Danio rerio: one gene and its partner. The protein of the gene in region 1 binds, or shares a complex with, the protein of each later gene. Links are inferred from orthologs where the notes say so. Each region holds a gene or a part of one and is shown in the gene's direction. Other genes may lie near its edges.

The links.
Region 2: ciao1 (region 1) and ciao2a share a complex: the UniProt entries of both Homo sapiens proteins name them as parts of the CIA complex. The link is inferred for Danio rerio from reciprocal best matches to the Homo sapiens genes CIAO1 and CIAO2A.

Annotation. Positions count from the first base shown.
Region 1 is NC_133183.1:6,291,940-6,310,194, reverse strand, and holds the start of ciao1 (probable cytosolic iron-sulfur protein assembly protein ciao1), read left to right. Parts: upstream 1-9,511; 5' UTR 9,512-9,620; coding exon 9,621-9,759; intron 9,760-12,450; coding exon 12,451-12,599; intron 12,600-15,102; coding exon 15,103-15,214; intron 15,215-15,535; coding exon 15,536-15,624; intron 15,625-15,945; coding exon 15,946-16,141; intron 16,142-17,421; coding exon 17,422-17,497; intron 17,498-17,826; coding exon 17,827-18,058; 3' UTR 18,059-18,255. UniProt on the Homo sapiens protein: Key component of the cytosolic iron-sulfur protein assembly (CIA) complex, a multiprotein complex that mediates the incorporation of iron-sulfur cluster into extramitochondrial Fe/S proteins.
Region 2 is NC_133200.1:1,558,595-1,574,410, forward strand, and holds ciao2a (cytosolic iron-sulfur assembly component 2A), read left to right. Parts: upstream 1-2,753; 5' UTR 2,754-2,777; coding exon 2,778-2,889; intron 2,890-5,105; coding exon 5,106-5,270; intron 5,271-8,713; coding exon 8,714-8,763; intron 8,764-8,914; coding exon 8,915-8,960; intron 8,961-9,686; coding exon 9,687-9,787; 3' UTR 9,788-11,476; downstream 11,477-15,816. UniProt on the Homo sapiens protein: Component of the cytosolic iron-sulfur protein assembly (CIA) complex, a multiprotein complex that mediates the incorporation of iron-sulfur cluster into extramitochondrial Fe/S proteins.

The DNA of each region.
Region 1 (18,255 bases):
CATATATAATAATGTCAGCAACATAAAGTAAATGCCAGTCTGTTCATTGCTTTTTTTTTAAATCCTTATTGTGAAAACGGGAAATATAATTTTCTAGTAGACCTAAAATAAGATGAACATAGGCAGTCCACATGTAAAAAGATTACATATACAAAGTAGATTTTTTGACATTAAGTACATATAATCTCTATAAAATTTTGATTAGCCACTAGAGTACAATATATTGAGACTTACCTTACAGTAGATTCTTAAATAGAGCGAATAAACACCTCGTCGGGGAAAAGTCCTGTCAGGCTGCTCTTTTCTTCTTTGTCAAGTCGCTTCTCTTCGGTTGAGTTTCTCTGCGGTCTCTCTTTCGCCCTTTAAATACAGCAGAGCGCGCACCCGTTCAGACTCTACACTGTTCTGGAAGCCTCCAGTGAATTCGACCAATCAAAACACAGCAGGCAGCCGCGTCACTTCTTCAGCTGTCATTGAGAGGAGCCGCTGAGAGGAATGTAGTGGAGATTTCCAGAGTTTTACCGTGAAATTACGCGAAACAGCGGTCAAAAATACAAAGAGATTTAAAAAGTTTTTTTTTATTTGAGTGTTTTATTGTACTTATTGCTGAAAAATGTGCGGTTGTGTGGTGTGTTGTTTTTCCAGTTGCAATGAATGAACAAACTAAAATGATAAAATGTTTGAACGATTCAGTAGAAAAAAATGCAATATAAAAAAAATCTTGCTGAAATGTTTTACACAGTAGCAAAATCGGGCCTGTGGTATTTTCAGCTACATAAAAGGCAAACCTGTTTTATATAAGCTAATAGCTTGGTCAGATTCGTTTAACGTTTCAACAAAACAAATGGATGTTTACTGTACTATATTGATTGGTTAAAACCAATACTTTATTCTGGGATTGCAGTCTTAACTATTTTTGTAGTGTTAAAAACAACTTGCTAACTTGAGAGGTCATGTTTACCCTCAGAGAAATAGGCACAAGTCTCTTTGTTTAATTTTGGAGATCATCCTCCTTGTTCAGTCGTGGCCTGTATTTAATTTTGATGTATATGATTGCCGTAAAAGTGTTAGAAAGTTTACCCTGGTGCCATGAAATCAATCTGCTGCATTTGACCCAGTTAGTGTGTCTTTAATCTAACTTAATGAGACCCCAGTGTGGTCAACAATCAATAGAAACAAAGTGTGTTGTTTTATAACTGTTAACTCCTATTATTTTTTATCTTCTGTAGCATATAGACAAAACATGCTCGTTCTAATAGTTTAATAAAATTAATTTGATTTTTGGAAATCACCAAGCGACACCCCTGAAGGATCCCAATATCCCTGATCCTCCCTTTGGGAATCACTGTGTTAGACAATGAGATTGAGAATAGTCTATTTCATTCATTGTCAATAAACACAAGGTTCCCAATGTGCAATTTTGTTCCACAAATAAGCCGTTTGAGCTACAGTGCTCAGCACAATTGAGGACACCCCATTTTGAAAATGAACATTTTTATCCATTTCACAGTGAATATTGGCAATGTTGGTGCATGTAAACACATCAGAACTATTAAACTGTTACATTTATTAAAATAATATTTTAGTCACCAAACTTATTTAGAAATTGAATCATAAAACAATTCAATTCAATCAAAATATTGCAAAGAAATGACAACCTACATATTTTCACTAAATTTGTCAATGTTTTTGCTTCTCTTGATTTTTCCTCTTTTTAAAAAAAATTGTATTTAATATTTTTCTGGAACAAATACATTTGGCTGTACTAGTTTTTGGACCATTATCGCAAGTTATTTTGTCAGATAAGCTCCAGATTTGGCTTCAGTGCAGTGCGAATATAATATTGTATAGCTTTCTATTAAAAATATGAAGTTAAAAGAGAGATTTGTGTGGGATGTACTTATATACGCTGAGCACTGTATAAACACAGTATATTTGCTTAAATTACCAAAACGGAAATGCATAAGAAATTGTTGCATCTGGGTTTGCATTTTTAAAAATGCAGCCCAATAAAAATAAAAGTAGATCATAAAAATAAAAACAAAGTTCATAAATGCTATAAGGGTATATTGATGACATCGAAGACAAACAAGTAGATGTGACTTCATATTTTGCTATCAAATTATACCAAGTAATGTTAAGAAGGCTCAGTCAGTTTTGTACACTATTGACACTAATGCAGTTTTACCTGAAACGTTTCTTATACTGAGAAAAAAACTCTATGAAATTCAAAGTATTTGTTTATTTTTTTTATTACTTATTTAGGTATAATGATGTGGACACCTTATGATGATGTCCTCACGGACATGCTAATGTAACATTTTGGTCCGCTTTATATTAAATGGCCTTAACTTCTAGATACTTGCATCAAAAAATAAATGCAATGCACTTACAGTGTTCATAATGTACTGCAGAACATTTCTGGTGCATAAGGGTAGAGTTAGGGATGGGTTTGGTGGTATGAGTAGATTTAAAGGTGGGTTAAGGTGGATGGGATGGTCAACAGTCTAATTACAAAAGATAATTACACATATAATTACATGCAGGTTTTAATCAATCATAGGTACAATGTAAAATTGTGAATTCAGTATACTTTCCTTCAACCTGCAATCACTACTTTAGTTTTTCCTGTCTATGAGTGTTAGAAAATTCACTCCTTTGAGTCCAATCAAATCTCACATAGAAGGTAAATCACATCGTAATGAACTACCTCAAGACATGGGCAATTTGTAAATGCAGCAAACTGCTTGTAAGTATTTAAAGTGTCCAAGAAGATGTCTTCTTTACACACATTGATCCAAAGACTGTTTGATGACGGATGTTTTCAGTATGATGACCGAAATGGCATTAAACACCCAGGAAGCACAAGAAGTCAACATGAAGTCAGATTGACGTTGAACCCCAATGTCATGGGGACGTTGCATTTTGTTTGAAAATGAACATCAGGTTGACATCAGAACATAATGTCAGGCCAACGCCATTGTCCAACGTCCATCATAAAACCAACCAAATATCAACGTATAATGATGTTACAGCTTGACGTTGTGAGGACGTTATCACTATGACGTCTATCAGACGTTGGATTTTGGTTGCAATACCAGACAAATAAATGTCAGTATTTGACATCAATATGATGTTGGATTTAGATGTTGGGTCGATGTTGAATTTTCGTCACTTTCTAACAACCTAAAACAGACCAAATGTTATTTGACGTCAGTATTGGAAATGAAAATAACATTAGCCGCAATTCCACTATCGGGCTAGTGCGAGCTATGGCTTTTATCGGGCCAGGCCAGGCAAATCGCCCGGGAGGTTGAGCAGTGAGGCCGAAATCATGTCGCGTTTCCACTGTCGGGCTAATAGCTCGCAGCGCGTCATGCAAACCCTGCCCCCAGAACATCCCCCGAATCGAACGTCACTCAATCCGTCCACTTCAGCGGGAATCAGGCAGATAATGCACACCACATCATCACGAAACTATTAAAATTAGGACAACCAAAACAAACAAATGCCACGTTACTGTACAGCACTACAATACGCACATACCTGTGTGTTCTCATTCATCATATTCATTTACTCACCAACCGACTGTTGGCATCGAAATCCAGTGGTCTTGCCACTAACGGAGGGACCCAGCGCAGGGAGCGCACACATCCATAATATAAAACCACATATATAAAATTCTCCATGAATGACTCGGTATAAAATGTATTTTATAACATCCTCAGTTAGACAGACGCTGTCCAACATTCATGTCAAATGCTCCAGAGAGAACTGAAACATGAACTTTTCCCTATAGGCTTTATAACACTTAACAGGTTATTCCCTTTATTTAAAGGTGTTGCTTATTATATTCTAAGTAAAGGAAAGTGTTCAGTGTTTCAGCACATAAGAGCAGCACATAATAAAATATAGCCTATTTCATTGCGCTCAGCAGCCATGCACTAATAAAGCTCTTCATGCATTTAAAATTTACTTTTTTAATTTTACCACGTGTAGTGACAGGGAGTGACACCAACAACAGAAGTTTGGATCCACGTGCAGGTTTATTAGAATTGTCAGGCAAGCAGTGGTCAATACCGGCAAACAGATGTATGAGGGCAATCCAAAGTTATAACAACAGGCAGTTGGTCAGAGGCAGGCAGCAAACAGCATTAAATAAATAAACAAGGCAAAGATCAAAACACGGGAAACCAAGACCAGGGGCCTGTTTCAGAAAGGAGGTTAAGTGAAAACTCAGAGTATTTTAACCCTGAAATGAGAGATACTCTAGGTTTTCCGTTTCAAAATGGCAGGTTTGTTAAACTCGAGAAAGCAGGGTAAGTCAAGCCTGTTTCTGAAAGAGAGGTAACTTTAACTCAGAGTCAGTTACTGTGGTAACTTACTCTGTGAATCTAACCTGGTCAGAAGCAGGTTTTATTCTCTAAACTCGGAGTTTCTGTCGGTCTCCTCCCCTTTTTTAAAGATGAAGTGGTATTTCTCGCCTAAGTCTTACGTTTCCACCCACCTATTTTAATGCTCATTTTGGACGTGCATAAAAACGATTGATAGAAATGTCATGATGCACATAACTTTTTAAAATATGCATAAAAAACGTGCATAACTGAATAGGATAAACTTTTATTCGATAGAAAATCTGCGCATAAACTACGATGGAAACACTTACTGAACAAATTACAGTATGTACATTAAAAAAAAGATCATGATCATATGATAATGAAAATGTGTGTAAATGGACAAACCAGCAGGCTGAGCACACTGCAACATGTCTTAAATATTGTGTTAGTCATTTTAAAATGCCTAAACTGTTTCAGTATTAGTGTATATTATTAATTGCCTCCGAACGTCTGGTGCGTGTCAAGAGTCTCCGCGTCTCATGGCTTCAGACGCCCCCACGTGTTCATTGTGTTTCAGCATTGTATTCTGACATCGAGGCGCAAGTACATTAATTAGGCTAAATAAAGAATTAATTGACGCAGCTTCTTCTACCACAGTAAATTCTGTTTTTACTGTTGATATTTGGTGCCAGTTTAATCAGAAAGTGACGATTTTTTTCTCTTTGACTCGTTGGATGGAATTTTATTCGCATCTTTTATGCAATATTCCAGTTTTGCACATAAATTTATGTAATATATTTGGATGGAAACATAGCTATTGCCTACATTTTAGTCACACACAGAAGAACTGTACTAGAATGGCTTATCCTTTTTTAAAAAATAATTAATTTAAATTCACCTTCGACATGCACTGTAACTAGATTAATGGGATTATTATTCTTTCTAAAAATTATTTTTAGTACTGCTTACCTTCTAAATGTTATATTAACCTCTATCACTTGATCAATAAAAAAGGCAGACACACAAGTGCATTGTTAAATCATTTAAAACTAATAAATGTATAAAAAAGTTTAGAAAAAAAATATGAACGTCACAAATTACATTACTTATTTTATTATACTTAAATATTTAAATACTTAAAAAGTGAAATTACGCATTAACTTGAGCAGCTGTTTTCCCACGCTAACTGTCTCCTCTTCACTGATGGTTGCTTCTTTTCAAATATATACGCTCATATTTGCTATAACTTTGCATGAGAACATCAAGTTCAGCTGGAGAAAGAAATGGTGATCTCTTTTATAAGATATTGCCATAGTCACTCGTAATGTTTGCGCTCCATTGATAATGCCTTTTTAAAGTCACGGTGTGCGCGCTTAACTCTGAGTTGGTCTACTCGAAGTTGATTGACCCAGCTCAGATCAGCTGTTCTGAAACCGAAAACTCTGAGTTTTTAATCTCTCGGTAAATCAACTCAGAGTTAAAGTTTAAACTCTGAGTTGTTTGAACCTCCTTACTGAAACAGGCCCCAGGATAACACGTTGTAATGTCACCTTACAGATAAACAAGACTCGGCAAACTGAAGGAGTGAATGTGTGGCGTAAATAGTGTGTGTTAATTAGTCTCTGAAAGTCCTCAGGTGTGAATAAAAATCAAGCTAAATGAGAAAGCAGGTGTGTGGGCGAAGAGCATGTATAAAGTTGTAGTCCAGGAAAAGTGTAGTTCTAAGTGTGTGTGTTTACCAGCGACATCTGGTGGTTGTTCGCTGGTGAACATGACACCACGGGCCTGTTTCAGAAAGGAGGTTAAGTGAAAACTCAGAGTATTTTAACCCTGAAATGAGAGAAACTCTGGGTTTTTCGTTTCAAAATGGCAGGTTTGTTAAACTCGAGAAATCAGGGTAAGTCAAGCCTGTTTCTGAAAAAAAGGTAACTTTAACTCAGAGTCAGTTACTGTGGTAACTTACTCTGTGAATCTAACCTGGTCAGAAGCAGGTTTTATTCTCTAAACTCAGAGTTTCTGTCGGTCTCCTCCCCTTTTTTTAAAGATGAAGCGGTATTTCTCGCCTTAGCCTTACGTTTCCACCCACCTATTTTTATGCTTATTTTGGATACGTGCATAAAAACTATTGATAGAAACGTCATGATGCACATAACTTTTTAAAATATGCATAAAAAACGCGCATAACTGAGTAGGATACACTTTTATTCGATAGAAAATTTGTGCATAAACTACGATGGAAACACTTTTACTGAACAAATTACAGCATGTACATTAAAAAAAGATCATGATCATAAGATAATGAAAATGTGTGTAAATGAACAAACCGGCAGGCTGAGCACACTGTAACACGTCTTAAATATTGTTTTAGTCATTCTAAAATGCCTTAACTGTTTCAGTATTAGTGTATATTATTAATTACCTCCGAACGTCTGGAGCGTGTCAAGAGTCTCCGCGTCTCATGGCTTCAGACGCCCCCACGTGTTCATTGTGTTTCAGCATTGTCTTCTGACATCGAGGCGCAAGTACATTAATTAGGCTAAATAAAGAATTAATTGACGCAGCTTCTTCTACCACAGTAAATTCTGCTTTTACTGTTGATATTTGGTGCCAGTTTAATCAGGAAGTGACGATTTTTTCTTTCTCTTTGACTCGTTGGATGGAATTTTATTCGCATCTTTTATGCAATATTCCAGTTTTGCACATAAATTTATGTAATATATTTGGATGGAAACACAGCTATTGCCTACATTTTAGTCACACACAGAAGAACTGTACTAGAATGGCTTATGCTTTTTTAATAAATAATTAAATTGAATTCACCTTCGATATGCACTGTAACTAGATTAATGGGATTATTATTCTTTCTAAAAATTATTTTTAGCACTGCTTACCTTCTAAATGTTATATTAACCTCTATCACTTGATCAATAAAAAAGGCAGACACACAAGTGCATTGTTAAATCATTTAAAACTAATAAATGTATAAAAAAGTTTAGAAAAAAAATATGAACGTCACAAATTACATTACTTATTTTATTATACTTAAATATTTAAATACTTAAAAAGTGAAATTAGGCATTAACTTGAGCAGCTGTTTTCCCACGCTAACTGTCTCTTCTTCACTGATGGTTGCTTCTTTTCAAATATATACGCTCATATTTGCTATAACTTTGCATGAGAACATCAAGTTCAGCTGGAGAAAGAAATGGTGATCTCTTTTATAAGATGTTGCCATAGTCACTCGTAATGTCTGCGCTCCATTGATAATGCCTTTTTAAAGTCACGGTGTGCGCGCTTAACTCTGAGTTGGTCTACTCAAAGTTGATTGACCCAACTCAGATCAGCTGTTCTGAAACCGAAAACTCAGAGTTTTTAATCTCTCGGTAAATCAACTCAGAGTTCAAGTTTAAACTCTGAGTTGTTTGAACCTCCTTACTGAAACAGGCCCCACGTCATATAAAAACATACACACTTGTTTGAGGACACAGAACACATTTTGAACTTGCAGTTTTTCCCAATGCGTCTGTAAAGTGCTGCGCAGCTGCAGACAGAAAAAAGGTCGCCTATTTCTGCTTTCACTCACCCTGAAAATGCTCTGTTTGCATGATTTGATTAATATCATCATATCCAAATACTTTATAAATAATATTTAAAACATTCTCCGCTGTTTATTGTTTTTAGAAAATATTTAAAATCTTTTTTTTTTCAGAGAGGCTTTTAAAAAATGAAAGTTTAATAAGGCTTTAAAACAGTTTGATATAGTACCTAATTGTTATAGCTAGCTTTTGTTAGTTTTATATTGGTTTATTTATTTAATGTGATTTTATTATATCTGATATTTGTAATTCTTTAAATTATTTCAATATGGCTTAGGCTATTTTATCTAGATATGACACTATTGTTTTGAGCCTACAAAAGTGGACACGAAATTTGTAAAGTTTAATGTCTTTCTGTTGTATTCATATAGTGTATTAACTCCAAAATAAATAAAAACAACAAAAAGAAAAGAAAAAAGCCGTACGGCATCAACAGAGTTGTGAAGGAAGAGCTCTTTTCCTTGGTCTCACACACATACAGGCATCTAAACTCGCACAAACACACCTTTTAAACTTGACAAAAACTCTCGAAAACCTTCACTGTCTGCTGTGTCTTTAATATGGTGTAAAGATTATTACGCGTTATTGAAACATCAAGGAGGACGCAGCAAAGAAAAGTCACTTATATAAATTAAAACTACTTTATTATTTTATGCAACAGCCTTACATTTAAAAGAGAAACATAAGGGCGATCATACGCAAAAAGACCCCAGCCTATTTGTTCCAGATGTTTTCTTTCCCTTGTTTATTTATTTATTTGTTTATGTGTTTGGCACATGTACTTGTGTGCGATCAGAAAATTGTGCCCGCCTCTCCTTTCACTCCGCCCCAAAGCCCCAGATGGCCCTCTTTGGCCCAAGGTATTTGGGGGGCCGAAAAAGGCCGGCCGCTGGCCCCAAGAAAGCCCTGATTTGGCTTGATTAGCCCCCGGAAGTGACAGTGGAAACGCGACTGGCCGTGGCTCGCTCGCTTTAGGCGCGATAGTGAAAACGCGGCTATTATCCTTAGACGCTGGCTAGATATTGAATTTTGATCACCTGACATCACAACCTAAAACTAACCTAATATTAACGTCTTATGACGTTGTGTGCTTGCTGGGCAATAACTCAATGCACTACAGAATTTTACGTTTACACACATTCACAAACTACAACGCATCAGTTTTTACCAGCGTAATACTCACTACTCTTGAGTACTTTTGAAAGGGCTACTTTTTACTCATACTTTGAGTAATATTCACAACATATAATTTTACTCTACTTGCACTTCATTTTTAGGCAAGTAATGGTACTTGAGTAGGATTTTTCAGTATCTTTCCACCACTGATGGAAACACAACTAGCTGACTTCTGTAGTAGTTTTTGTTCCAGCTATGGATGTCAACGGCTGCTTTTTTTCTTCAGAATGTCTTGTTTTGTGTTCAAAGGTTTGGCATTACTTCAGGGTGAGCAAATAAATATTTAGCTTTGTGTGAACTATCCCTTGAATGAAACGCTACAGTCCTGATGGTGGCGCTACTGCCGCGCATTTCTATCAACCGCAAGACACTGAAGCACAAAACAGGAAGCGGGAAGCAGCTGATAAACAGAAGACTTGAAGTTGTGTGACATCCGAGAGAGAACAGTGCTGCCGACAGGGAAACATTTACATGTCACATAGTAATAATTAATAACACACAGTTATATGAAATGAAGGGCGCGCTGGAGCTACAGCACAGGGTGAGCGCGCACCCGGACTCGCGCTGTTGGTACGTCGCGTGGAATCCCGCGGGCACGACGCTCGCGACCTGCGGCGGAGACCGTGCGATAAGAATATGGGGCAAAGAAGGTAAAACATAGCAAAATACATGTGTACAGCACACGTTTAAATCTATTTATTTAACCCTTCTGTTGTATTAGAATTATGTATACACGGTTCGCCCTTCACTAAACCCAAAACTGGTTTTATATTTAGACATTCGGACTTTCTCCTTAACTTAATAATATAAAGCTAATGATTATCAAAGTAAATCATTGTTTACAGTTAGATAAATAGTGTTAATGTTGTTTTTAAGCCATACTTGCATGTGATTTCAGACCGAATATACAAAGTACCATGATAAACATTATAGGAAGCATGTCACAAGTTGTCACTTAATGAATGGACGAATATAAAACCCAACTCTAACGTTATCTTAATTAAAATAAATCAGCTACATTTTATTTCAATCCTCAGATCTATTTTGCACAAAGAAACCATCTCATCTTCATCACAAACTCTGAATGTCTAGGTTTCCCTCAGGTTTCATTGTGGAGTATTTCACCAATGTTTAACTTAATCAGAGGCCATAGGTTTTGACTGAAGTACAGGCTTTATTTTCTAATGCTATTGTGTGTGAGTATTGTTTTTGTAGTGTAAAAATGGTTTTATAGTTGGTGTCAAAATTGAGCACAAGGACAACCGTTGTACCCTAATGTGTGAGCAATTCCAGCATTTTGGATGTGACAATTATTAGTTAAGCATAATTGCGCAGAGAAAGTATATGTAAACATATTAAAACATATTTATATTTTCTAAAACAACTACAGAGTTATGGGGTCAGAAAAATATTTGCCGGTATAAGATACTGGCGGTATGATAACCTTGGTTTCACGGTATTGTAATTACTGCTCTAAAAGTTATTTTTAAATGCCTGGGTAAAAAAACAACAAAATTTTCCTCCTTTGAATACAATATATTTTATTTTTTGAAAGATTTATAATATTTTGGAGCAGTAAACATGTCAGGCTAAATAATTGAAATTAATTATTGACTTCTGCTGTCTTCATTTGTTTCAAAAACACAGATTTCTTTACAATTTATACGGCATCTTTGGATATCTTTTCTGCTGGAGATGCTGTTGTCCTAAAAAACAAACAAAAAAGTAAATAAAAAATCGTGCACATACCTTAGGAACGGTATCTGCCGATCTGATGCAGTTAGGGAGTTCATTCCACCAACTGGGCAGATTGAATGCGAGAGTTCGGGAAAGTGATTTCTTCCCTCTTTGGGACGGAACCACAAGGCGACGTTCATTCATTGAACGCAAGTTTCTGGAGGGCACATAGATCTGCAGAAGTGAGAGCAGATGAGAAGGAGCAAAGCCAGAAGTCGCTTTGTAAGCAAACATCAGCTTTGAATTTGATGCGAGCAGCAACTGGCAGCCAGTGCAAACGGATGAGTAGCGGAGTGACGTGTTCTTTCAGGTTCATTAAAGACCACTCGTGCTGCTGCGTTCTGAAGCAGCTGAAGAGGTTTGATAGAGTTAGCTGGAAGCCATATATAAAATATATATAAAACAATTTTTTTAAATACTTTTATTGTTTCAGAAAAATGTGATACATAATGTATTAGTAACCAAATACCAATCAAAGAACACCCAACCCCATCCCGACAGAGACATAATATATATATATATATATATATATATATATATATATATATATATATATATATGTTACACATACAGTACATGCAAAAAATATTAATTAATAAATGAATAAAAGTAAAATAAACTAAAATAAGATAAAATAATAATAATAAAAAGGGCAATTTTGAAAAAAAAAGACATTAAGACAATGACAGTTCAACACACATACATTCCAATGAAAGTGAAAAAGATATTAAAGTTAGTCATAACAAACACAGTGCACATTAACACAGTCACATTGTTTGTGATTACTAAACGTTCAGGCCATTCTTACTTAAAAAATAAAGAAAGAAGTCCCAAATCTTGTAAAATATGTGCATTTTTTGTTTGACTGAGTAAGTCAGTCTTTGCATTGCTATACAAGAAGACATTTCCTCAATCCAGAGTGACAAAGATGGACCATGAATACTTCTCCAGTGAATGGCAGTCAGGCATTTCGTATGCAATAGACACAGATTTTAAAACTTCTGTTCATATGACTTCAGCGATAAGGCAGGTGGGAAAAGACCAAGAACACAGATTTAGGGCAAACAGGGATTTCTTTAACAATAGTTTTAGAGATTACATCTATTAGGTATTTCCAAAAGGATTGCAAGTGCTCGCATTGCCAAACACAATGGAATAGTGTACTCTTGTAAGTCAAACATAAAACACAAAACAATTTTGATAATATTAATTTTTATTATATTTAAAATTTGTAAAAGCTTATTGAGAGGGAAAACTTATAGATTTAAAGGAAAAGTAAATATTTCAAATGCAATTAGATAATTATTTTGGGGTCTCACTGTGTTTTTAATGTATTTGCTGTTCTGTTTTTGACAATTTTTTTACATTTTGCTCCATCATGATAACAAAATATTAATACAATTTTAAATAATATAAAATATGAACCCTTTACAGGGCACTCATTGAAATACTCATTGGAAAATCCTTGGTGTTACTGGTGGTAATTACAAGACTTTTGAAGTTTTAGGACTTTTATATAGTCTCTTTAAAACATTAATAGCATCCAGAAAAATAGAAAAAAAGCATTATTGCATTTTCAGCCTCTCGTTTGTTTTCATTCTCAGGGGACAGTTGGGAATGTAAGTGTGTCCTTTCTGATGGACACCAGCGCACAGTCAGAAAAGTAGCCTGGTCTCCCTGTGGGAAATACCTGGCTTCAGCCAGCTTTGATGCCACGACATGCATCTGGAAGAAGACGGATGAGGATTTTGAGGTGTGTGCTTGTATAAGCCTGATTTTTTTTCATTCTTTCAATTTTCTTTTTTTATTGCAGTATAACACAAGTGCAATAAGGAAAAAAATCTAATAAACATATCCACCAGAATGTACAATAATAGCACAAATTATTAAAAATAAATAAATAAATATAAATAAAAACAAAAACATTACAGCAAAAATAAACAAAAAAATCCAACAAAACTGAAAAAAAAAACTTTCATCAGTGTAAATTTTTTCAATAAACTGCAGTCTCCTTCCTGAATTAGATTTTATTTATCGTAAAGATCTACAGTATTACCAAAATTCCCTTTGGAAAACCAAAAACAATGGTTTTGTTGTAAGGCACTTGCATTGGATATAAAAATTTCTCCCAAATAAAATATTTTAAAAAAATAATGTAATATGTCATCGACCTCTAATAAATCAAAAATATCAAATATATATTATAAAAATAATAATATAACAAAAATATGAAATAGACATATTTAGAAAATTGGGAAGGCGGCTCCAGGGGTCTCATGTATCAAGGCTGCGTACACACAAAAACTTTGCGTACGGCAGGTTTTACGCTCGCGTTTGGATTTATTAACGATGAAATTAACGTGAGAATGTGCGTCGGTCCACGCCTACTTCATGCCTGGCGGACGCACATTTCTTGTGCGTGTCTGTTTTAATTCCATGGGAGACTCCTAGAGGCAGTAGTGTTAAATTGCACACCACGTCTTTGAGCCGTGTAATGGCAGCTGTATGAGAAGGGTTCATCCGCATGTCTAGCAGGTTTATAAGGTTTCCATACCATGCAGTTAACCAGCCAAACATTAAAGCGCAATTTGCAGCGGTCGCCTGTTTGCCCAATGTAATCGGAGCGATATACTGCACGCACATTGCTATAATGGTGCCATCTGAAGACGAATTTGTATACGTGAATCCGAAACATTTCCATTCAATAAATGTGCAAATAATATATGATGCACAAACTTATTAATGATTCTTACTTGTCTTCCTCGTGATGAAGAGTAGCCAAAATCAGATATGTAGCGGGGGAAAAAAAGAAGAACGTCTTCATCAGATGTGGGATTTGAACCAAGTTCATGCTTAAACGTGTCAAAACATGTTGCCATGCGTTTTACGAGCTACGCCACTCACGCAGTTAAAGAATCTACAACATTTTACACCTTTACATCATTCAGACCCAACTGTGTTAACCGCATCAGCTAAACTCTCCCACTCTAATTTTTTTCTTTTGTTATTAATTCCGGAGGACAAACTTGCAAATAACACCGTTTTTCCCCGGTCTAGCTCTGAAAGCAGCACCTCCAATTCGCATTCTGTTCAAAGTTTCTCTTCTTGCTTGCTTTTGCCATTACTTTTTTATTGGGTTTTGCCAAAGTATAGTAATAAGCATATTCATACGGGGGAGGAGGCAGGGAGGGGTTTTGCGCTCGTGCACATGCGCTCAGTTTCACGTTCATTCTGATGTACAAGGAGAATATGGGTGTGATTCGGTGTATGCAGTAAAAATTTCAGATGTATGAAACGCTGCGTCCAGTCGGTTTTAGACCATGCACCACAGCGCAAAGCGGATTTTTCCGCCCTTAAAATAGCAAAAGTGGATTCTGACACGCCCAGAATTAGGGGTGTCAAAATTAATTGTTTCTTCGGTGCACCGCGATGCAGATGCAGACAATTCGGTATCGGTTCAGTAATAATCATAACCGGTTATTATGTACTGACGTCATTTATCTCCTATGCGCTCTGTCGCGAGGGAGGTGAGCGCGAGTTTTTACAAACCTCAGCGCGGTTCAGTTGGTTTTGTTTTCGATATTCCTGACACACATTCAAGTATAGACGGCAATAACTCAAAAACCGCTTACCCTAAAAAGATCTAAAGTGTGTTTCCTACAAAAAGACAAAGCTGGTTATGTTTCACAGCTGTTTTTCTTTTTTTCGCTCAACATTACGAGCACTGCTCCGCTTAAGCCCTCGCAATATGTGTTTAGCCGGGAGAGCTCGTGCTGAGTAAGGGACCGTCGGAAAAGTGCTTCTTTTTTTTGTTTTTCTGCTCCGCTCAGCGTGAGCCCTCCCTGTTGTGAAGGCTTAAGTGTGTGTGTGTGTGTGTATGTGTGTGTGTGTTTGTTTCTTTGGTGCTGTCTATGTTTGTGTATGTGTTTGAATGACAGACAGTGTGGTGCTGTGTGTCTGTGTGTTTATACAGACAGCTTGTTATAGCCTCCCCCCTAAAATATAACACTGTATATGGAAAGCATCGTCAATGCACCGTGATGCACCGAGATATCGAATTGAACCGAATCGAAGGCATGATAATCGTAACCGAACCGTGAGACCAGTATAGGTTCACACCTCTACCCTGAATGCTTTTGCGCCCTGCGCTTTGCACTTTGCGCATGGATCATCAAAATAGAGCCCTAAAAGGCTAATTTTAGACTCTTAAAAAATCCAGAAAGTTGATCTGACATGTTTGTTATGTGTGTTTCCAGTGCCTGACGGTGTTAGAAGGTCATGAGAATGAGGTGAAATGTGTAGCTTGGGCTCCATCTGGAAGCTTACTGGCCACCTGCAGCAGAGACAAAAGCGTTTGGATTTGGGAAGGTACCTCAGAAATATGGAGAATACAGTGTCTTTCTGTAACACAAATACAAACCTTTATTAATTTTAAGTCTCACTGTGCTGATAAATGGTTCATAATGCGACTAGAAACAGTTCTTATTAAAGCTCCAGTGAAATTAAAGATTTTTTTATACATGGTAGTTTTAGTATGTTAGTTTTAAGGATATCTATAAGCTAGTGTGCTCCAAAACAGTGACAATATTTGTTTATGATGAATAAACACTGGTTTTGCCTATAATGTTTCATCTTAAAAGATTTTACCAGGATGATTTATCTGTGTTAAATGCTTCATTTTCCTTGTAGTGGATGAGGAGGACGAATACGAGTGTTTAAGTGTTGTGAATTCACACACGCAGGACGTAAAACATGTCGTCTGGCACCCGACGCAGGAGGTATAATATTCACACTCTTGATCAACATTATTCAATTCACCTTTATTTGTACAGCGCTTTTAATATGTAGATTTGGTCAAAGCAGCCTCACATAGAAGATTATAGTGAATTGAAACCGTGTAGTTTTAGTTTTCAATGTTAAAGTTCAGTTTAGCTCAGTTCAGTGTGGTTTAATTATCACTACTGAGAATCCAAACAGTGAAAAGCAAATCCATCAGTGCGCAGCTCTACAGATACCATGCAAGCTAGTGGCGACAGCAGCGAGGAAAAAAATTCACCAATTGTCAACACTGACCTGTGTTTTTTCTGATACTTTTGCAGCTTCTCGCATCAGCCAGTTACGACAACAAGATCTGTATTTATAAAGAGGAAGATGATGACTGGGAATGCAGAGCCACGCTAGAAGGACATGAATCCACTGTCTGGAGTTTGACCTTTGACCCTGAGGGACGGAGATTGGCTTCTTGTAGCGACGATCGAACCGTAAAGATCTGGAAAGAGTCGACAACTGGAGATGGTGAGGAGTTTTAGATACAGTTTTGCATAGTTAATCTTAAAGTCTCCGTGAAATCAAATCTAACCGTATTGATTTTGTTAGCTCACTTTGCTAGTTTTGTATAAATTCATTTGTGCATGTCATTAAAAAAAAAAAGTTTGCCCTTCTAATCTAAATTTAAAATCTGAAAATTCCCTTCCTGTTTGTTTTCGGTTAAATTCTTAGATTAGGCCTGTCTGAGGTTTTGGGTGTGGCTAACATACTTAACCACGCCCCTCCAGCTGTCAGTTTTGACAACAAACTGAATTGGTGAGGAGGATGAGTCTGTTGTAATAACTGTCTCCAAACCCTTTCCCCATCTTTCTTGTAATGTAATGTGTATTTATATAGCGCATTTATTGTGTATGGCCTACATCCAAAGCGCTTCACAATCATGAGGCGGGGGGGGGTCTCTCCACACCACCACCAGTGTGCAGCATTCACTTGGATGATGCGACGGCAGCCACAGGACAACAGCGCCAGTGCGCTCACTACACACCAGCTATTGGAGAAGCGGAGAGACAGTGATACAGCCAATTCAGTGGAAAGGGAAGATTGGGAGGCCATGATTGTAAGGGCAGATAGAGGGACTTTGGCCCGGACACCAGGGTTACACCCCTACTCTTTACGAGACGTGCCATGGGATTTTTAATGACCAAAGAGAGTCAGGGCCTCGGTTTAACGTCTCATCCGAAAGACGGCTCTCTGAATGAAATGCCGACTTCACTACATCCAATCAGCTCTCAGAAGAAAAACAAGCCACGCCCACTGATTTCTTATTTAATATTTCGTTTAGCCGCCTTTCCACTGCACACGACATTTGGACACGACTGTCAGAATACGCCCCCTTGTGGCAGTCGCACAGTATTTTCAGTGTTGTCATGCACCATTGGGAGAGGAGCTGTTCTGGCAGTGTCCGAAATAAAGGAGCGTGAAAGCAAGAACCTTTATTCTCTGTGCATTTACATGGTTTAATGAAGGAATGAATACTAGAAACTCAAAGACCGCTACAAATATTGGAGGGAATGTGGAGACAACATTAAAAAATTTATTTTTATTACTTTCTTACTTGCGTTTATGAACAGTTTTTTTTTTAATAGACTTTTTATGATTCAAAAAATAACCAAATAAAGTCCTGTTTCTCTTCTCGCGCGCTCTGACCAGCTTGTACAACACTGGAATACATCACATCCGGTCAGCCGGTCGCATCCGGTCAAGTCGACAATATAAATCTAAGAATTCTGCTTTTATGTTTCTGTTAGGTTCTTCGGATGAGTCCTGGAAGTGTATATGCACCTTGTCTGGATTCCATGGGAGAACAATATATGATATTGCATGGTAAGATGTGCAGTATATATAGGAGCAGAAATGGCTACAGGGTTTCTGTGGTTATCGAATTTGTATATACTGAATAATTAGCCGTCCTATATATATATTTTTTTTTCTAAATTTGTGTTTAATGGAAGGAATTAGTAAAAAAAAAAAAAAAAAAAATATATATATATATATATATATATATATATATATATATATATATATATATATATATATATATATATACACACACCGTAAATACACCTAAATTGTCAAAACAAACTTTTTATTTTGGATGTGATTAATTTTTCCCGAGCACTAATTGTTTTACTTTGTGGTTCTCCCGATTTCAGGTGTCGTCTGACCGGTGCTTTAGCCACCGCATGTGGTGATGATGGAGTGCGTGTGTTCAGTGAAGACCCCACTGCTGACCCAGAGCAGCCCATCTTCGCCCTGTCAGCCCACGTGCCCAAAGCCCACAATCAGGACGTCAACTGCGTGTCCTGGAACCCGAAAGAAGCAGGACTTCTGGCCACATGCAGCGACAATGGAGAGTTCGCCATCTGGAAATACAACTCTGCCTGAGCCGGTGAATGACGCTCAAGTAGACCGAAAGCACTGAATCAGTGGTAGTTCACCCAAAAATGTGAGGTCTGTAATTTACTCACCCTTTACTTGGTCTTTATTCTCTTTCGTCTGTTGAACACAAAAGCAGATATTTTGATGAAAGCTTACAAAAACTGTAGCCCTTGACAACCATAATAGGAAAAACATATACTATG
Region 2 (15,816 bases), on another chromosome or scaffold:
AAAATAAATAATAAACAAATAAATAATACATAAATAAATCATAAATAAATAAAATGAATAATAAACAAAAACTAATAAACAAATAAAATAAATTAATAAAAAAATAAATTAAATAATAAAAATAATAAATTATTTAATTAAATATTGAAAAGACAATTAAATAAACGAAATAATAATAATAAAAAATAATAAATAAATAAATAACATATAATAAATAAATAATAAAATAAAATAAATAATAAATGAATAAAATAATAAATAAATAATAAACAACCGAAAAAATGCTAAATAAAATAAATCATAAATAAATCATAAATAAATAAATAAATAAATAAATAAATAACAAATAAATAAAATAAATATTTAATAGATAAATCATAAATTAATAAATAATTAAATATTAATTAAATAAATAAACAAAATAAATAATTAGATAGGAAATTAATAAATAAACAAAAATAAATAAATTATAAATAAATAATAAATAAATATTAAATAAATAAATAATATCTAATAAAGAAAAAATTACATAAACAAAATAAATAAATAAAACACAATAAACAAATTAATAAATAACAAATAAATTAAATAAATCATAAATTAATAAACAAAATAAACAATAAACAAATAAAACAAATAAATAATACATAAATAAATCATAAATAAATCAAATAAATAATAAACAAAAATAATAAACAAATAAAATAAATTTATAAAAAAATAATAAATTAAATAATAAAAATAATACATTATTTAATTAAATAATGAAAAGATAATTAAACTAAATAATAATTATAAATAAATAATAAAATAAATGAATAATAATAAATAAATAAATCTTGAAGATATAAGAAAGCCTCACAGTGTAATAAATGCACCTTAAAAATTCTTTTCAATATTTATTATTTTGCAATAGTCTGAAGTATGTAGTGTGTAGTATGCAGAGTGTGTGTGTCCAAAGTGTGTAGTATGTATAGTGTGTGTGTAATGAGTGTTTAGTATGTATAGTGTGTGTGTGCATGTGGTGTGCTGTATGTACAGAGTTGTGTGTGTACAATATATAACATGTAGTACAGAGTATTTACAGAAAGAAAGTCAGTGTGTAAAGTATGTAATACTAAGTGTGTGTGTCTGTACAAAGTGTGTAATATGTACAGTGTGAGTGTGTGAACTAAGTGTGTAGTATGTACTGTGTTTGTGTGCACAGAGTGTGTATGTTGGTGTATAAAGTAGTATGTACAGTGTGTGTATGTGTAGAAAGACTGCAGGTCTGCTGTAGTTTGAGGTGTGTGTGACTCACTCACTCTACACAGGTGTGCAGTAGTGTATGCTCAGGTTAAGTGTGTGTGTGTGTGTGTGTGTGTGTGTGTGTATGTGTATGTGTGTGTTTGACTCACTCTACACAGGTGTGCTGTAGTCATGTATGCTCAGGTTAAGTGTGTGTGTGACTCACTCTACACAGGTGTGCAGTAGTGTATGCTCAGGTTAAGTGTGTGTGTGTGTGTGTGTGTGTGTGTGTGTTTGACTCACTCTACACAGGTGTGCTGTAGTCATGTATGCTCAGGTTAAGTGTGTGTGTGACTCACTCTACACAGGTGTGCTGTAGTGTATGCTCAGCTCCCCTGCTGTCGCTGATGTTCCTCAGACTGGTTTCCCCCTGCGCGTTCACGCAGCACAGCAGTGACGGACCCGCGCTCAGCTTCACCCTCCGCCAGTCTTTCAGCCCCACACAGAGCTCTCCATCCGCCAACAAATCCACCTCCAGCACCGCCTGAGCTCCAGCATCACTCCTGCTCAGAGCCTCCAGCATCCTGAAGATGGACAGCAGACGAGGAGGAAGAAGAAGAGGAAGATCAGCTCAGGAGCTTCCGCCGATGAGCGCGCATTATACAATAACAAACAGCACACTATGGAGATAAATAATAAACAGTCCTCGAAGATTAAACTGCAGGATTTAATCTGAAATACTGATACTGTGAGTTTCCGATCTAAACAAACCACAGCTGATCATCACATGACAACCACATGATCATAGCTACAGCAGGAGGACCAATCAAACCGGAAATAAACACTTCTACTTATGCGCGTTCATGGATAAATGAATGTAAATATCTATGATGCGCGTTCACTATGCTTATGTCAACTAACGTTACCTAAAATTATTTGCCGTGATTAGTAAATAAAAGTTTGGCTTTGTCTCTGTTTGAGTCTTTAATAAGAGCAATGTTTATTTTATGTATAATAATGCAGGTTTATTTAAACTAATCTAAATCTATACAAAACAAAATAAAGGAATTAATAAAAAAAATCAAATATTAACAATATTATCAGCAAAAATAGTGTAATTAAAATAAAAATTAATGTGGTGTTTTATGAATTTATACATTAAAAATGTTGCAAACTATAAATACTATTTTTTAATTAATTTAGCATGTGTAATACAAAACAGTAGAAGTATATTGACTAGTTTCTATGGATAATGTGTTGATATAAACAAAAATCCCCTTAATAAAGTGTATTCTATAGTCTTGGTATAAAATAATTAACGCCAAATTAATTAAAATGGTTTTTTAACATATTTTATAGTTTATTATTATTTCAAAATAACTATATAATATTTTAAAATAAATGGCATATAATCCCAAAAAACAACGCCAAAAAGTTTATATTTCCATCGACATTTCTTTGTTGATCACTCTGGTCTGCGTGAAAGAGGAAGAGCGGACGCGCATGCGCATGTCAGTGTCCGTGATGGAAATGATGGACCGGACCGGATCATGGAGCTTGTGTCCGGACTTTTGAGCAAAGCATTGTTTTTAACGGGACTTTCTAACGAGACGAATGACAAGAGACGAAAGAAGATGGAGGAGAAAGCGCTGGAGGTGTACGGTGAGCCCTGATGACCTCAATCAAGAGAAAAGTCTGTGGTGTTTTCATGGCACGATGACATTGTCAGGCGGAAATACTATAGTATTTTTATATATTACTATAGTACTGAATAATCATCTTCATGGTACTTTAAGTAGTGCCATATTACTACTTTGTTAAGTCAATAAGAAATGTGATACTGGATGTATTTTATCTGATACGTCAAAGATCATATTAACATACTGATAAACAGAAAACGGGGTATAACCATGGTACATAAATGGTGTCCGGTGTTAATGCCATGGTATTTTTGTGGTTGAGTCATTACCGTAATTATGTACTCTATTTTTCTGTCACCATGGTACATAGTTACAATTAAAAACTTGGTTTACTATGCTAAATTGATTGTGGTTGTTGTGATTGTGGTATTAAATCATTACCGTAATAACATACCATAATACTGAATCATTACCATAATCATTTACCACAGTATTTCCCACAAACTTTAAAAAATGGTCTCAAATTATCATTTAACATGGTAAAAACTGAAAAGTATGTAACTGAAAGGTATTAGCATAACCAGCAGTGATGATGCTACTTTGTAATACCATGCTATTTTCATATATACCATAATAATGAATCATTACCATAATCATTTACCAAAATATTTCCCTTAAACTTGAAGGAATGAAGTTCAACTGTTTATATTTTATTAATGTATCATAGTATTAGTATTGAATCATTACTGTAATAACATACCGTATTACAGAATCATTACCGTAATCATTTACCAAAATATTTCTCTTAAACTTTAAGAAATAAAGTTCAACTGTTTTTATATTATTAATATACCATAGTATTAGTATTGAATCATTACCGTAATAACATACCGTAATGCTGAATCATTACCATAATCATTTACCACAGTATTCCCTTAAAATTAAAGAAATAGTCCCAAATAATGATATAACATGGTAAAAACTGAAAAGTATGTAACTGAAAGGTATTAGCATAACCAGCAGTGATGATGCTACTTTGTAATATCATGCTATTATCATATATACCATAATAATGAATCATTACCATAATCATTTACCAAAATATTTCCCTTAAACTTGAAGGAATGAAGTTCAACTGTTTATATTTTATTAATGTATTAGTGTTGAAACATTACCGTAATAACATGCCATATTCCGAATCATTACTGTAATAACATACCGTAATACAGAATCATTACCGTAATCATTTACCAAAATATTTCTCTCAAACTTTAAGAAATAAAGTTCAACTGTTTATATATTATTAATATACCATAGTATTAGTATTGAATCATTACCGTAATAACATACCGTAATGCTGAATCATTAACAACAGTATTCCCTTAAAATTAAAGAAATAGTCCCAAATAATGATGGAACATGGTAAAAAACTGAAAAGGAAGGTAACTTAAAGATGCTAGCATAACTAGCAGTGATGATGCTACTTTGTAATACCATGCTATTATCATATATATATATATACCATAATAATGAATCATTACCATAATCATTTACCACAGTATTCCCTTAAACTTGAAGGAAAAGTCAAACTGTTTATATTTTATTAATTTTTCATAGTATTAGTGTTGAATCATTACCGTAATAACATACCGTAATACTGAATCATTACCATAATTATTAACCACAGTGGCGATCCAATGGCGCAGTAGGTAGTGCTGTCACCTCACAGCAAGAAGGTCGCTGGGTTGTTGGTTCGAGCCTCGACTCAGTCGGTGTTTCTGTGTAGAGTTTGCATATTCTGCCTGCATTCCGGTTTCCCCCACAGTCCAAAGACTGTGTGTGTGTGTGGATGTTTCCCAGAGATGGGTTGTGGATAAGTTGGCGGTTCATTCCACTGTGGGGACCCCGGATTAATAAAGCCGACAAGAAAATGATTGAACTAAACACAGTATTCCCTTAAAGTTTACGAAATAATCTCAAACTATGATGTAACATGGTAAAAACTGAAAAGCAACATAACTGAAAGATATTAGCATACCTAGCAGTAAATAATGTTAATTATTATAATACTGAGTCATTACCGTAATCAAATCAGTATCAAACGGTAATGACCAGTGTATTATTAAATAGAATATACAGTGTGTTTTGATAGCAAAACTCTGTTATTTGTCATTTTCTCTCAGATATTTTTCTGTTTAAGGTGAAACTCTTAATATGCTGATGTTGTTGTTTACACAGATGTGATTCGGACGATTCGTGACCCGGAGAAACCCAACACTCTGGAGGAGCTGGACGTGGTGACGGAGAAATGTGTGGAAGTTCAGGAGCTCGGAGACGATGAATATTTGATCGTCATTAAGTTCTCTCCAACTGTACCACACTGCTCTCTGGCCACGCTGATAGGTGAGTATGTGACGAGATAACACACACACACACTCAAACGGACATCACTGCACCACACAGATAGCAGGAGACACAATAAAGGAAACACTTCTTGTTAGGGCTGGGCGATATTGCAAAAAAAATACATTTAGGAAAATTATGATTTTTTTAACCTTTTTTTTAATTTTACAACATTACTAAGGCAAATAGTTTAAATAGTCAAAAATAAAAATATTTTAACTAAATATCTCTTTATAATAAAATAAACAGAAGTGTTAAAGAGACTCTCAAACTTAATAAATAAAATGTTACAAAGTGTGTGCAATGGTAAAGCGTAAATACTGACAAAAAACAGAAATGTGCGCACATCTAGAAAAATCTTGAAGGCAGGTGCACGATCAAAAAACAAACATAAGTAGCAAAAGATTCAAAGTAAATCGGCACACTGCCACTTTAGCTCTCAAAAAAATTTTAATGTCAAAATTACAAAATCACTGTGATTTTGTAATTTTGACATTAAAATTTTTTTGAGAGCTAAAGTGGCAGTGTGCCGATTTACTTTGAATCTTTTGCTACTTAAAGCGTAAATACTGAACAGTCGAAGCAAACTTTAAGGTGTGAATAAGGGCGGCGGGGGGGGGGGGGGGGTCTCCCTATCGACCATTTGGGGAGCACCCAACTGTATAATGTGACGGCAGCCATATTGTAATACTCTTATTACGAGTCTACTATGTAAGCAGGGATCCATGAAAGGACCACGAAATGCAGAGTTTTTTTTACGTTCGCCATGCAGTATCAAATTCCATTAAAAAAGAAATCGAAAGTTAAAAATGACAAACCCGAAATTGCATGAAACTCTCAAGGAAACTCTGGAGAGTCTGGTAATGCGACATTACTATTTTATACCGAAACTTGCCTTCTAAAAGTGCTTCCTTTGTCTTATCCATATTTCTTAACATGTTGAACACACAAATAAAAAAAACTTGCAACTGCGTTAATTGTGTATTTTTTTAAAACACGTTAAATATTTCAAATTGATAGCATGCGTTAACGCAGTAATTTTGACAGCACTAGTTTATATACATATACTTACATTCACGTTCATATGTATCAGCTTGTCTGTTGCGCCACTTTTTGACTGTTTGGCGCCATCTAGTAAATAAATAATATGTAGGTTAGTGTTTGCTGTAATTAGCCGGGTTCATTTCTGTCAGCTTTGCGTTTAATGAAAGAATTAATAAACTATTACGGCTCAGAAGAATGTTTTTTAGCTAGCAGTATTAAGCAGGATGAGGTACATCCAGGATGGTTGTTTTGCCAGAATAAACGGTTCAGTACAATGGAAATACTATGAAAGTCATGGTTACAGGTTTCCAGCAATTTTCTAAATATCTCCTTTTGAGTTTGACAGAAGAAACTCAAAGTTATTTATAAAAATAACGAAAGTATTTAATATTTGGTCAGATTTGCTAGAATTATAACTTATATATTTCTATATCTAAACTACGTTAGTTTTACTTTAGTTACTTTTTAATAATTTAGATTCTTATTGATACTATTTATTTAGTAAGGTCACTGGCAGGTATATAAGCATTTCACTGCATATTGTACTGTGTAAAGGCTGATTTATACTTCTGCGTCAGGTGCACACGTATGCTACAGCACAGCCAACGCATTGACGCATAGCCCTTCACCGTGGCCATCGGCGTCGCTGACTTGCACCTCTCAAAAATTGTAACCACATGTTGCAACGACACGTAGTGCAAGCTCTGATTGGTCGGCTTGATATCGCTGACGAGTGAGGGCGGGGCCGAGAGTCGTGCCAGCATGGGAGCCCGATGGAGCGATTGTTTACAAGTGTGGAGTCCCGTAAAGGAGCTCCGGATGGAAAGTCTTGTTTTGTGTTTACCTCATAGTTAAAGTTGTTTCACATCCGCCTGTTCCTGCCTTAAAATGAGCGAGTTTGAGCCACTTGTACATTCAGGAAGTTTTCAGGAAAAGCAAAACACCAGCGAAGAAACTCGACACAGAGAAACATTTACACCACACTGCCAACTAGCGTTTCGGAAGTGTTAATGCAGACCAACAGAGACAGCGCACAGAAGTGTTAAGCCTGGTTTATACTTCTGCGTCAAGTGACCGGCGTAACCCGCGGCGCATGCAACGCGCGTAGCTGTGCATTTATACTTCTGCGCGCTGTTTCTGTAAATCGAAAGTTAAAAATGACAAACCCGAAATTGCATGAAACTCTCAAGGAAACTCTGGAGAGTCTGGTAATTCGACATTAACTATTTTATACCGAAACTTGCCTTCTAAAAGTGCTTCCTTTGTCTTATCCATATTTCTTAACATGTTGAACACACGTCGACCACAACAGGAAATAAAAAAACCTGCAACTGCGTTAATTGCGTAATTTTTTTTAACGCGTTAAATATTTTCAAATTGATCGCATGCGTTAACGCACTAATTTTGAAAGCACTAGTTTATATACATATACTTACATTCACATTCATATGTATCAGCTTGTCTGTTGTGCCACTTTTTGACTGTTTGGCTCAAAATTTTAACTAAATGTCGCAACGACACGTAGTGCAAGCTCTGATTGGTCGGCTTGATATCGCTGACGAGTGAGGGCGGGGCCGAGAGTCGTGCCAGCGTGGGAGCCCGATGGAGCGATTGTTTACAAGTGTGGAGTCCCGTGAAGGAGCTCCGGATGGAAAGTCTTGTTTTGTGTTTACCTCATAGTTAAAGTTGTTTCACATCCGCCTGTTCCTGCCTCAAAATGAGCGAGTTTGAGCCACTTGTACATTCAGGAAGTTTTCAGGAAAAGCAAAACACCAGCGAAGAAACTCGACACAGAGAAACATTTACACTGAACACTTCCTGAATGTACAAGTGGCTCAAACTCGCTCATTTTGAGGCAGGAACCGGCGGAAACAACTTTAACTATGAGGTAAACACTAAACAAAACTTTCCATCCGGAGCTCCTTTACGGGACTCCACACTTGTAAACAATCGCTCCATTGGGCTCACACCGCTGGCACGACTCTCAGCCCCGCCCTGACTCGTCAGCGCTACTAAGCCGTAGGGGTGTCACGATTTCGATTTGAAGCTGACCAATCACAGAGCTTGCGCTACGCACCGTTGCGATGTGTAGTTATAATTTTTGAGAGGTGCACATCAGCGACGGCCACGGCGTAGGGCTATGCGTCAACGCATAGGCTGCGCCGTAGCATACGTGTGCGCTTGACGCAGAAGTATAAATCAGTCTTAAATGCACAGCTACGCACATTGTATGCACCGTGGGTTACGCCGGTCACTTAACGCAGAAGTATAAACCAGGCTTAAGTGACTAACAACATTTGAATTTCAGGTTTGAAACAAGTAATTGTAATTTTTGGGTAGACTATTCCTCGCTCTTGTAAATAAAGGTTATTTACTGCAGTGTTGTCTTCTTCCTGCAGGTCTGTGTTTACAGGTGAAGCTTCAGCGCTGTCTGCCCTTCAAACACAAGGTACGTCTGCAAACGCTGTGATACTCTGCTGTGTGTGTGTGTGTGTGTTCATCAGTAAAGCTTCTCAAGTGTGTGTGTGTGTGTGTGTAATGAAGCGTCAGTGTGTCAGCGCTGTTTCTCTGGCCTCTGATGGTGTTTTCTGGTCTTCCAGCTGGAGATTTATATAACAGAGGGAACACACTCGATCGAGGAGGACAGTGAGTGTTCAGACCTGCTCTTTAAATCATGTTTACACCACTGCAGATCTTCAGCAACCCAAGAGTGTGTTCATGTGTGTCTGATTGAATTTGTGTATGTGTGTGTGTGAGACTATGAGTGTCTGTGTATGTGCGTGTGTCTGAGTATGTGTGTGCAAGAGTGTTTGTGCATGTGTGCGTGCGTCTGATTGAATGTGTGTGTACGTACGTATAAGTAAGTATGTGCGTGCATGCATGAGTATCTGTGAATGTGTGTGAGTGCATGAGCATTCGTATATACATGTGTGTGTGCATGCGAGAGTGTGCTGGTGTATGTGTGCTGTGTCTGAGTTTGTGTGTGCGGGTTAGTCCATGTGTGTGTCTGAGTATGTGTGTGTGCAAGAGTGTTCATGCATGTGCGTCTGATTGAGGGTGTGTGAGAGAGTGTGCGTGCATGTGTGTGAATGTGTCTGAGATTGTGTGCATTCATGTGTGTGTGTGTGTGTGTGTGTGTGTGTGTGTGTGTGTGTGTGTGTGTGTGTGTGTGTGTGTGTGTGTGTGTGTGTGAGTGAATGTGCTTTTGTTAATGTGTGTGTGTCTAAGTGTGTGTGAAAGTGCATCTGTGCATGCATCTGTGTAAGTGCATGTGTGTTCATGCTTTTGTCTGAGTGTGTTCTTGCGTGTGTGTGTGTGTGTGTGTGTGTATCTGTGTGTGTGTGCTCTCCTGTAATATTGTGTTTCTGTCAGTCAATAAGCAGATCAATGATAAGGAGCGCGTAGCGGCAGCGATGGAAAACCCCAACCTGCGGGAGATTGTGGAGCAGTGCGTCACCGAGCCGGACGACTGAACACAAGCACACGCACACACACAGACTTCCTGGAGGAAAGTTGCATCACCTCAGAAAACAAGAGAAGAGACTTAGCTTCATCCCTCATGTCCTCAAAGCCAACAGGAGAGGCTTCAGCTTCTGTTTACACTCAGATGAAGAGGATCTCACTGAAAAAACATCCCAAAAACAGTGGGATACTATATTTATGAACTACAAAACATCATTTATGGGCTATAAATCATCATTTATTCACTATAATACATTATTTATGGGCTATAAAACATACTTTATGAGCTAAAAACATAATTTATGAGCTCCAAACCATTTATGAGTCATAAAATATACTTTAAACATTATTTATGGACTATAAAACATACTTTTTGGGCTATGAAACATCATTTATTAGCTATAATACTTCATTTATGGGCTATAAAAACATACTTTGAACATTATTTATGGACTATAAAACATACTTTATGAGCTAAAAATGATCATTTATGAGCTCCAAACCATTTATGAGCTATAAAACATACTTTAAACATTTTTTTATGGGCTATAAAACATCATTTATGAGCTATAAATCATAATTTATTAGCTATAAAACATTATTTATGAGCTTTAAATCATCATTTATTAGCTATAATACATTATTTATGGGCTATAAAACATACTTTGTGGCCTATAAAACATTATTTATGAGCTATAAATAATCATTTATTAGCTATAAATCGTAATTTATTACCTATTAAACATACTTTATGAGCTATAAATCATCATTTATTACCTATAAAACATTATTTATGGGTTATAATACATTATCTATGGGCTAAAAACCATATTTTATAAGCTCCAAAACATTTACAAGCTATAAAACATACTTTAAACATACTTTATGGGCTATAAAACATACTTTAAAAGTTATTTATGGGCTATAAAACATACTTTATTAGCTAAAACGTCATTTATGATCTATAAATCATCATATATGAACTATAAAATATCGTTATGAACTATAAATCATCTTTTATTAGCTATAAATGAGTGTTTATGATCATGAGTTGGTGCAGTAGTTTTCGGTGTTGGGTAAAGTTACTTTTAAATGTAATATATTGTGATCTTAAATCACTTAAAGTAATGGGAGAGTATGTTAGCATTGATTAAGACAGGCTTGCGATATATTTCTTTTAATAGTAACTTTACCCAACACTGATAATGTCTGAACTAAATGATGTTGTTATGTTTTTTATGGTGTTTTTTCATCCATCCGTCCTCCATTCTGTAATTGTACAGAAAAGAGCAACATGAACATTCTGATAAACATCTCATTTGAAGTCGTGTTGTTTTGGGTGGAATTGAAGTCGAGTAATGATACTAAACTTGTTTTTAAAGAATTGTTTTGTAAGAGATGGTGATGATAATGAGCTTGTAAATATTTTGATTTTGTAAGGGAAAAGTCTATATTTGTAGAACTGGAGAGCTTATGAATAAAAACTTTCTCAGAGATATAAGAAGAGGTTTTTATATATACATGGAAATTGAATTTTTGTAGCGTTCATTTGTATGTTATAGGCCTGGACTTTTCAATGAAGCTAATGTAATTTTGTATAATCAATATAATTACAGTACACACTGATTGTAAATGAAATGTTAACATATACATGTGTACTTTGCATTATAAAAATATTAAAGATAATATTAACATTTAAATTCTTAGTTTCTGTGACATCTATATATGTTTTTTAATAAATTGTATACATAAGATATAATATATTTATTTGAAAAACATACTTTAATATCGTTATAATTTTTTACCTGGATTTTTAATTAGTTTATTATTTGTATTTTATACAGCTGGAAAACTCATGAAAATGAAATTCATGCACTTGTAAAATGTAAGAAATATAGAATATATAAGATTACCACACAATTGCAATAAAAAATCTATTTTTTTTATTTAATTATTACAATCTGTCAAATATCATAAAATATGTGAGAAGTGGTTAAATTGACATAATTTCTTGCCTTTTTTATTTATTTTAAACTTCTTAACATATTTTAATCTGTTTATATATATATATATATAATTTTATATATTTAATTTAATATTTAATTAACATAACTTACCTACATTGTTTGTTATCAATGGTTAATAACAGGAAAATGGCATTAAAATAAAATGTAAAAGGAAATTGTAATATAATAAAGTGTTTTTAACTTTTAATTTATATAAAATATTTTTTTATAAAATCTCGAATAATTTGTTTTACTTATAGGATTAATTGTACAATAATAACAACAGTAAAATTATACATTTTACGTTTATAATAATACAACTGTACAAATTAAGTTTCCAATATATATTTATACACATATCGTATAATTAAATATAATTAATTGATTTAATATGTAATTTAATATTTATATCCTTTGTTTTTTTTTTGTATACTGATTATTTTGATGGTAATTAAAATCTACATTCATATGCCATTGTGTATGAAATGTGCCAAATAAATGAACTTGTTTTGCCAAATAATAATAACGCTCACAATTCATAAAATAATAAAAATGTCAGATATCATAACTAAATACATTACATTTTAAATCTCTTAAACTTGTAAGATTATATACAGAAAGAATATAACCTGATCTTTCTTTTACTTTTTTCTAATAGCTTATTTGTTTAGTTATTAATAAATGCCACTGAAAATAAATGATTTATTGGATTTACAAACAATTAATATGGGATAAATTTAAACAAACAAATGAAGAATGTTTGTTTCAATTCTGCCCATATGAATTGTTTGCAACCATTTACCTTAAAAACATTGAATAAATCCAATGGATCATTTATTTTCAGTGACAGACTTCTCCATGTGGTGGCGCTCTACAACCAAATTCCCTCAAACTGCAGTCCTTCACATTTAACAGATTTACAGGCTCTATGCTTGACAAAAAACACAGTAAAACACAGCGTTTACCTTAGATTTACAGCACACTGGAGGCCGATGGGAAATTCAGCGGTGTGTTGTGTGTGATTTTGGCCGCAGGGCACTTCAGAACTGAGGATTTTCAAGACCATTATTAAATATTCAGCTTTAGTGAAATCATTCTAGACAGACATCAAGTATTAATATCAGACATTCAGAGTCGATCTCATCAAACACACACTTTCTGGAGTTATGAAGAGCTTGATGTGTGGAAAAAACTGTCGGAAAACATCCAGACCTGACAAAATGACAAATACATAAATACAAACATAATAAATACATGAAGAAAATGTAAAACAACAACAACAACAAAACAGTACAGAAGGCCAAACCTGTAAAAATAAATAAATAAATGATAAATACTTTAATAAATACATGAAGGAAATGTGGAAAAAAATCAGTAGGGAAGGCCAAACCTTGAAAATAAATAAATTAATATTAAATAATTTTATGAAAAAAGTGAAAAATTTAATAAGTATGGAAGGACAAACCTGTTAATATATATATATATATATATATATATATATATATATATATATATATATATATATATATATATATATATATATATATATATATACATACATATATACACACACACACACACACACACACACACACACACACACACACACACATATATATATATATATATATATATATACATATATACACACACACACACACACATATATATATATATATATATATATATATATATATATATATATATATATATATATATACATATATACATATATATATATATATATATATATATATATATATATATACATATATATATATATATATATATATATATATATATATATATATATATATATATATATGAATACATTAATAATAAATACATAATAAATAATATATTATAACTTAAAATCTGAAAAAAAAAAAACACAAATCAGTATGGAAGGGCAAACCTGTAAAAATACACAAATTAAATAATAATAAACACATAAAAAAATATATAAAGAATATGTAAAAGAAAATCAGTGTGAAAGGTCAACCCTTTAAAAATAAATCATAGTTAAAAACAAATAAATATATGGAGAAAATATGAAAAAATAAATCAGCATGGAAGGACAACCTGTAAAAATAAATAAATAACATTAATAAATACATAAAGAAAATGTGAAAAAAATCAGTGTGAAAGGTCAACTGTTTAAAAATAAATCATAATTAAAAACAAATAAATAAATGGAGAAAATATAAAAAAATAAATCAGCATGGAAGGGCAAACTGTAAAAATAAACAAATAAACAATAAATACATTAATAAATACATAAAGAAAATGTTAAAAAACAACAACAAATGAGTAGGGATGGCCAAACCTTGAAAATAAATAAATAAATAAATGAAAAAAAGTGGGGGAAAAAAATCAATATGAAAGGTCAAACCTGTACAAAATTAATATATTAATTAATAATAAATACACCAATTAATAAAATCAAACAAATCAGTATGGAAGGCCAAACCTGTAAAAAAATACATTAATTAATAATAATTACATAAATGAATAAAATCTGAAAAAAAAAAAATAAAACTAATCAGTATGGAAGGCCAAACCTGTAAAACTAAATAAAAAATAAATACATGAATAAATAAATGAAGAAAATCTGAAAAAAACTAATTTTGCTTTATTTACATGGTTAATTGTGTCATATTAACAGAATTATACATTAAGTTTCCAATACAATAATTCATTTTACATTTAATTTTGACGTCATTGTCCTGTAATAAACTTTGAATTGTACTTCTCGTTTATTATTTAACTCTGCATTGTACACAACAATAATAATGTTTAAATAATATTATATTTTCTGTTTGTTCTATTAACATGAAAATAATATAAATATATTTTTTTAGGTTTATATAAAACAATTTAGTGTAAACGGTCCAATCTTTTTTTTGTTAAATTCACACTATTAACTATATAATAATAATATACATTAACAGTTTAATTTTCCTGTTATTAACTTAGAATTTTATTTATTGTGTATGATTTAAATCTGCACTGTACACAACATTATTGTATAATTAATACTATATTATTATCTTTATTCTATTAGCCTTACATGAAAATAATAATGATATTTTGTCATTTTATATTTGTATACATGATATTTTAGACCGATATGAAGTGTCAACAAGGTCTAATAATCTTCGTTTTATTGACATAAATAGCTGTTAAAAATAAGAAAATGCATTAAGAGAGAAGATCATCAGCTTCTGAGCACATATGATGTGCATTCGGTGAGTTGAGCAGCTCTGAAAGCTTCCCCCAGTGTTACATAACATCATAACAGCAGCTCTGCTTTTATTATTATGCAGAAACAGCTTGATTCTCTTCATCTACAGCCTCACAAATCCCTCAATTTACAGGTTCACGAAGCAAAGCAAAGACGACAGACGGAAAATATCAAGCCGACGGCGTTCACTCATATTCAGAGACTCCGCTGGGCTTCAGCTCCGTGTGTTTATGAATTTATAATGCGAATTACAATATATATTACAACCCTGATCCCTACCGGTGTTTCGACTTGTTTTTATTTATCGTGTCCGTGTCGTACGTGGTCTCTGACTTGATTAAAATATATTCATAATGCCATAACTCGGAGGATCTTATTACCTTTGGAGGCGCGTGTGGAGGAAAGTCAGGGATTTGATTAGCTTACAGTTACACTCGAGGGGACGCGGGAAATATTTATTAAAATACATGTAACTTTAATAAATCCGGGCGATTTCTGATGTGTGTTATGATAGTGTACTCAACAGAATATTTATTGGTTTGTGTAAATGTCAAGATGTAATCACGTACCGTTTATCTGCGACGTGCGCGCGACCGGAAGTTTAGCGAAAAGTTCCTCACGTAGGCCTAAATTAAGCAATTTTTTTTCTAAACAGCTTCCAGTGAAATTGATTTCAGTATTGCTTCATACACAACATTAGTATATACAATGCTGTCGATATCACTGGAAATTGGTTCAAGTCTTCTTTTCTTAAAGATACATTACAGCTTTGTGAAATACTGAAATTTCC